Ovis aries: one gene and its partner. The protein of the gene in region 2 interacts with the protein of the main gene of each other region in a biochemical or structural test. Links are inferred from orthologs where the notes say so. Each region holds a gene or a part of one and is shown on either strand. Other genes may lie near its edges.

Region 1 (3,814 bases), on a different chromosome or scaffold from region 2:
GCCGGGGCGCGGCCGCCACCCCCAGCACCCGGAGGACCAGCCCTGACTTGGCCCAGGGACACAGATCTCAGGCTTCGGGCCTCGAGACGTGTGAGGCAGTGACATCTGTGTTCTTTCAGGCACTCGGCTTGCTGCCACTTGTCCAGCAGCCACAGAAAGGTCACCGTGTCATGACCCACCGCAGCCCTTGGGCCGACGCCAGGCGACCTCGTAGACCAGGCGTGGGGAGGGGGTGGGCGGTGCCAGCCCCTCTGGTGGTGCTGCTGCTGCCCAGATTTGGACGTGGCACACACACAAGGGTGCATCTGAAGCCCTTCCAGAAAGTTCTGGTCAGAAGGAGTGTGCGTGCGTGCCCGGTCATTTAGTCCTGTCTGACCCTTGAGACCCCATGGGCTGTAGCCCACCAGTCTCTTCTGTCTGTGGGATTCTCCAGGCAAGAACACTGGAGTGGGTTGCCATTTCCTCCTCCAGGGCATCTTTCTGACCCAGGGATCGAGCCCGAGTCTTCTGCAGTGCAGGCAGATTCATTACCACTGAGCCACCTGGGAAGCCCCTAGCCAGAAAGGAACGCCCATCCTCACAAATGGGGGAACCCGGGCAGCCTCAGTGGCTCCAGGCTCCAGCCCACGGGGCTCCGATGAAGAAGCCTCGAGGCCCTGGGGGGTGGGGCCCAGGCAGCGGAAGCGGAAGCGCCTCATTCCAGGAACCACGTGAGCCAGGCATCCCCCAACGGGGTGGGGAGGCTGGAGGGGCTTCCCTGATAGAAACCATGTGCCCTCCCGCGCAGCACAGTCTAAACAATCCGGCCGTGAAGGGCCTGCTGAGGGCTCTCTCGGGAGGCCTATGACAGTGGGGCACCGAGGTCGGCAGGGCAGATGGGACCGGCGTGCAGAAGGAGGACCTGGGGCCGCGGGAGAAGTGGCTTCCAGGGCACATGGCCAGTCAGGGGAAAGGGGTGGAAGGCGCCAGCGCCCAGACGCCCCCAAAGTCACCGGCACACCGAAGCCCCAGGGGGCCAGCCCACACAGCATTCCCGCCTCCACCCAGGAGCACTGACCAGAAGCCCAGCACTCGGGGCGCCCAGAGGCCACGTGCCCAAGCCCAGCACACCCTCCAGGCATCGCACATCCATCCCGTCCACCGGATGACCGCAGCCACGAGCAGAGCTAGTCTGTACCAGAGACCGGCTCACCCGAGCGATACACCCAGCAGCAAGCAAGCCAGAGCCTGGGGCCAGGCTCCAGTCCTCAGGGACCCTGCTCCATGCCCTTCCAGCCCACGGGTGGGAGGCCAGGCTTAATGGCGGGGGTCCGGGCAGCTGCACTGAGCCGGGCAGAAGGCATGGGGAGGACCGACCAGTCCCGGGCTGAAGCCCCGGAGGCCGGGCTTTCTCTGGTCACTAGCGGGAGCCCCCCCGAGCCCCCAAGGGGCCCAGGGCAGGCCCGGTGGAGTAGGCCAGGGCCTCGGAGGCAGGTGCCGGGTCATACCTAATAAGCTGGGGGCAAAGGTTACCTGCACCGGAGATGCAGGGCTAGGCCTGGAGGAAGGGGTTCCCCGGGGGGAGGAGCTTGAACTCCAGCCGGCTCCATCCTACCTCTGGCAGGTACTTAAATTCTCTGAGCCTTATTCCCACAAAAAGACAAAACAGGCCTCATTCAGCAGCAGTTTCACGAGCTCTGGCCCCTTGCCAGAGAGGGCGGAGCCTCCAGGCAGGGACCTGAGGCTCCACCAGAGCAGACAGGTGTCCCTGGTCTGGGGGAAGGAGCCCAACAAGCCAGCCCCAGAGGGGGACCCAGGCCAATCCGCCAGGAGTGGCCACAGGAGGGCAGAGCCCCTGCCGGCCAGCCCACCGGCCTGTCCCCGAAATTGCCCGCCTGTTCTGCATTCCTGGAGTGCGCAGAAGGCAGACTTGTTTCCTCCCAGACAGTGTCCTCACTGGGCAAGAGTAAAACCCGGCAGACCGCCGTCGACCCCTGACGTTTCCTTCAGGGCTTCTGCTCAACCGTGAGGCCTGCGCCGCAACCTGGCTCCCCATTGGGACTGGAGAGGCCGTCAGGTGGGGTCGGGCCACAGACCAGAGGGACTGTCAAGGGTCAAACCAGGGCGGGGGTCACTGCACACATGAGGCAACACGGCAGGGCAGCCAGCGTGGGGGTCTGAGAGAGGCTGCAGCCTGGGGCGCCCCGTCACGGGGGACAAGGAAGCGGGGTGTCCTGAGACTGCAGGCAAGACAGGACCCCCGTGCTCTGAGACTGGGGAGGTCGGGGTCAAGCAGCTACGGGCAAGGCAGGGCCCTGTTCCTGACCGCAGCCGGTCACAGGGGGACAGTCCAACGGCGAGGATGGACAGCGAACCACCACACTCGCCACGCCGTGACCCCCAAGGGTCAGGGCGCCGAGCCCCCATGATGGGGGCACAAGGTGGTCGAGAGGGAAAGGGCTCCCCGAGGAAGGGACGCTTTCCAAGGCTGAAGCCGAAGGAGGAACAGTGGAAACCACACGAGCAAGGGCCCTGGGGCAGGGGTGGGCAGGGCGTCCAGGCCACGTGAGGCAGGGACAGAACGGAGGGGAGAGGCCAGGGGGACCCCAGGGCCGCCCTGAACCCACACGGAGACACAGACGACGCTGAGACTCAGTATTGCCCACAGGCCTGGCTGCACGATGGGCCAGAGGTAACAGGAAGCTGGAAGGGAGTCAAAGTCCTGGGCTGTGAACCCAACAACCGAAAACTCGCCCACCTGACTGGCAGCAGAGCTTCATGGAGGTGCAGGGGCATGGGGGGGTGGTGATAGGGTCCCCCTCCAGGCGGGGGGTGATGAGGGGGTCCCCTTCCTAGGCACGCTCCCAGGTGGGGGGGGTGATGAGGGGGTCCCCCTCCAGGCGGGGGTGTGATGATGGGGAGCCCCTCCCAGGCAATGCTCCCAGGCAGGGGGGGTGATGGGGGTCCACCTCCAGGTGGGGGGTGATGGGGGGTCCCCTTCCTAGGCACACTCCCAGGTGGGGGGTGATGAGGGGGGTCCCCCTCCAGGTGGAGGTGTGATGACGGGGAGCCCCTCCCAGGCAATGCTCCCAGGTAGGGGGGGTGATGGGGGTCCCCCTCCAGGCAGGGGGTGATGGGGGTCCCCCTCCAGGTGGGGGGTGATGAGGGGGTCCCCTTCCTAGGCACGCTCCCAGGTGGGGGGTGATGAGGGGGTCCCCCTCCAGGCGGGGGTGTGATGACGGGGACCCCCTCCCAGGCGCGCTCCCAGGGCCTCCATCCCCAGAGCAGAGCAGACGGACGTGGGCGGGGGTGCTCACCGAGCTGGGGCTCAGCCCCACGTTCGCCTCCACGTAGGCCTCGGTCTTGGGCTCGACCGCCAGCTCGGCCTCCAGGATCTTCTCCACCGGCATGTCCTCGTTGGCGCTGCTGGTCGACTCCACCTCGCTCTCGCCCCGGTCCTTGCCTCGCTGCCGCTCCTCCTGCACGGCTGAGGCGGGGTGAAGGGGTCACGGTCAGCCCGCAGCTCCCGCGGCAGCCTCCGCCCCCGGGGCCCAAGCAGCATGCCCGCCCGCCAGCCAGGGCCAGGGAGAGCGAGGGTGCTCGGGGCCGGCCAGAGCGCGGCCCCGTCTCTGCCCCAAGCCCGGCCTCCCGCTCCCGGGGGGCTGTGTGTTCTGAGAACAGAGCGTGCCGCCTCTCACTAATTCATTCAACCCCGGTTCACACCAGGACCACCCAGGGCCAGGGAGGACAGCGCCCCACTCTCAAGAAGTGAACAGCTCAGCAGGGATCCCAAGGTGGAGTGAGAAGCCCTTTCATGGGCTTTCATGGGTTATGG
Region 2 (3,814 bases):
GTCTTTTAATTTCGTGGCTGCAGTCACTGTCCACAGTGATTTTGGAGACAAGAAAATAAAGTCTGCCACCATTTCCACTTTTTCGTCTTCTATTTGCCATGAAGTAATGGGACCAAATGCCATGATCATAGTTTTTTGAATGTTAAGTTTTAAGCCAGCTTTTTCACTCTTTCACCTTCATCAAGAGACTCTTTAGTTCCTCTTCACATTCTGCCATTAGAGTGGTATTATCTGCTTATCTGAGGTTGTTGATATTTTTCCTAGCAGTCTTGATTCAAACTTGTGATTCCTCCAGTCCAGCATTTCTCATGATGTACTCTGCATAGAAGTTAAATAAGCAGGGTGACAATATACAGCCTTGATATACTCCTTTCCCAATTTTGAACCAGTCAGTTGTTCCATGACTGGTTGGAACTATTGTTTCTTATCCTGCATACAGGTTTCTCAGGAGAAACGTAAGGTGGTCTGGTATTCCCATCGCCTTAAGAATTTTCCACAGTTCAAAGACTTTAGCAGAGTCAGTGAAGCAGCAGTAGATGTTATTTTTGAAATTCCCTTGCTTTTTTTATGATCCAGCAGATGTTGGCAATTTGACCTCTGTTTCCTCTGCCTTTTCTAAATCCAGCTTGTACATCTGGAAGTTCTCGGTTCATGTACTGTTGAAGTCTAGCTTGAAGGATTTTGAGCATTACCTTGCTAGCATGTGAAATGAGCACAGTTGTCTGGTAGTTTGAACATTCTTTGGCATTGCCTTTCTTTACAATTGGAAGGAAAACTGAGCTTTTCCAGTTCTGTGGCCCATCTAGGATTATGGCAGGAATAATATTGGAGATGGTGATTATGAGCCAAGAGCTGAACTCTTCAAAGACTGAGAGAATGACTGAGCATTCACTGAGGACTGCAGTGTGGAGGAGGGTGGGAGGTGGTGTGATGACTGAGATTCACAGCACAGGAGCAAGAAGGGCCATCCTACTAGCAGGCCTGGTCAAGGCTGCACTTAATGTCCTGAGCAGAGATTCATTTGTATTTTTTGTAATCCATTAGCCCCCTAATCTCTACTTTGAATCCTTCTTTGAAAGAGTAAAATAAAAGCAGTGTGTGAGTTTACTTTATAAATATGTGGTTGGTACATCTGTGAAACTTCTGTAATTCAGTGAACTAACTTTAACCTGTCACTTTAGGAAAGGTTTGTTTTGTGTTCAACAGTAAAACTAATTGTACTTAAACCTCTAACGCATTTTTGAAGAAAAACTGTGTTTGTCCACTTTTTATAACTTACTTATGAACACTTGTTTTGTGTTGGCATATATGTCATAGAGAGCATTTTTTATGTATTTGTTGGGAACTTGATAAATTATTTGCCTAATAAAGACTTGGATGCTCAGTTGTCTCTGCTTTCTTCTAGATTACGTACCGGTTACGGCACCTCCTTCGAGCAAGGTGTGATGCTTCCCCAGTGACCAACAATACCATCCAGTTTCACTGTGATCCTAGCTTCTGGGCTCAAAATATAATCAATTTAGGTAGGCTGTTATGTAGATTTTCTCAAAGTGCCATTTGTTTCTGGAACTCTTAATGATTATGAGATTGTTGAAAATGTATTCCCTTCTACCCCCTAAATATTTTTATTATCTTGTTTTAAAGAGATGGATTTTTCCTGGTATTTCATTAGTGTGTGTATATTTGTGACACATGCATGAATATAAACACACATATAAATATGTGGGTGATATGAAACATCCTTTTATTGACTCAGTGTCTAGATTTCTGGATTTAGGAGTTGTTTTTCTTCCTCAAGCAAGTTGTGCTGTTAGTGACATATTTATCAGAATAGTTGTTAAAACTCTTTACATGTGTCTGCCATTAATATAGTACTTTTTAGAATGTTTTCTGTTAAAACAGTATTTCTCATACAATTCTTGGCTTACTCACTCTTGAGACCCAGTTGTCAGGTACTAATGGCTCATTTATTTGCTTTTTCTTGGTAGGGAGGAATTCTCTCTGTGTGTTTTGTTTTTGTTTTTCCTTTTATGTAATAATTAAATAATTTTTAACCTCCTAATTGAAGTGTATCATGCATATAGATAACTGCCCAAATTTGAAGTACTAGAGTTATCAAAAAGGGGGAATTTCAGTATCATTTGGTAACATCACATATCCCTGCAGGCAGTCCTTGTTACATTATGTACTAGTAAAAAAAATCTTCAATTTTTGCCTCCTTTCTTAATTTCTCACAGGGAAATTATAGAAACAAAAATAAGAATTTCATATACATTCTTCATTAACCACCTTTTGGCAGTTTTGGGGCTTATTGACTTTGTTTCAAAATCATCAAATAGGGTTGCTCTCTCATTCTCTAAGCTAGATTCTGGGTAAGAAAGAACTGGCTGGAAGGAGAGCCAGTGCTCTCAGAACACTCCAAGAAGGGAAGAAATAGGCTTACATAAATCTCATCCATATGTGAGAACAGTAAGAATGGTAATGTGACCCTTTGAAGAAATGATAAGGTGACTCCTCAGCACAGTTTAGAAGTACGTATTTATTGATTGATAAACATAGCCAGCAGCTGGTATCATACATATTCTCATCTATATAACTAAAAAGAAGCATCTTAATACAAAGCATGTATATAACTATCTCTTACCCTACTCTACCCTCCACCACATATATAGCTATACAGAGAATCTATCACAGCTTTATATCCACAGTAACAGTCATGTTGACTTATATGTACTTATAAGCATATCACTTAAAACATAGTCCACATGATGTAGACATAGGTAAAATTAAGAAAATATGTAACTGTACGCACATAAGTGAATATAGTTTAGGTAAATCTGAATCAGCAAAAACAAAAACACCTCCTGTTTGTGAGGAATTTGTAAGACAGTATCCTTTACTGTAGGACTTTTCAGAGGTGTCATATATAGCTCTATAAATTGTCGTTTAAAGTGAGATTGACGTTTTAAATCTTCTAAGAAGGATACAACTTTCCCAAACTTGTTTATTTATGGCTTCTGAGAAACATGTTACAGAAGAGTGCAAGGGAAAAGTAGTGTCTTGGACGCATATTCAGTTTAGTGTCTTTGTGACTTTGGATAAGTTGTTTGGCCTCTCTGAACCTTAGATCCCTTATCTGTACGAAGGATTTTAACAATATACATAGATCTCCTATCATGGTACCTAATGTGGAGTAAGTATTTAATGAATGATAACCATATCTTTAAGGATGCATATGCTTAGTAAATCAGGAACTTTTAACTGAGTCTCTGCTATTGAAGAAATCAAGCTTTGCCCTACTCTTGGACCAGACCTGTGAGAGGTACCTTTAATCTCTTTTTTAACAGTGTAGTTATAAAGCATGGTGTTCGCCATCAGAGAACTAACACAATTTGCGCCATGAAGGTGTAAAGAACTAGCTGTTGTTGTCATTCAATTGCTACATCATAGAGAGATAACTGAGTCAGTAATACTCTGTGGTATTGTTCTCACATCCAGTGAGAACAGTCAGGTTTGCGTGTTTTGTTTTGATTATACAATAGCAGTTCTCACAGTGTAGTCTGAAGCTTCTTCAGGTGATAAAAGGTCTCCCTTTTCCAAGTACATACCCATATGTGGCTGGGTTTTCTGCATGTATTTCTATTTAAACAATATATTAGATAATGCAGAAACAGTTACCGCTATTAAGCCAGACATTTTAAAGAACTGTTTGAAAATGTAAAATAGTGCCATTCTTCACTAAACTTTTTTGAAAATAAAAATAAGGTTTTGTGTGTGTGTGTGTGTGTTTTTTCCATAAAAATATGTTACTCTT

The links.
Region 1: the proteins of TRIM24 (region 2) and RXRA form a complex in vitro, tested with the Homo sapiens proteins (3 studies listed by BioGRID). The link is inferred for Ovis aries from reciprocal best matches to the Homo sapiens genes TRIM24 and RXRA.

The regions. Positions count from the first base shown.
Region 1 is NC_056056.1:1,860,784-1,864,597, forward strand, and holds part of RXRA (retinoic acid receptor RXR-alpha), read right to left. Parts: intron 3,467-3,814; coding exon 3,297-3,466; intron 1-3,296. UniProt on the Homo sapiens protein: Receptor for retinoic acid that acts as a transcription factor.
Region 2 is NC_056057.1:103,687,285-103,691,098, forward strand, and holds part of TRIM24 (transcription intermediary factor 1-alpha), read left to right. Parts: intron 1-1,405; coding exon 1,406-1,523; intron 1,524-3,814. UniProt on the Homo sapiens protein: Transcriptional coactivator that interacts with numerous nuclear receptors and coactivators and modulates the transcription of target genes.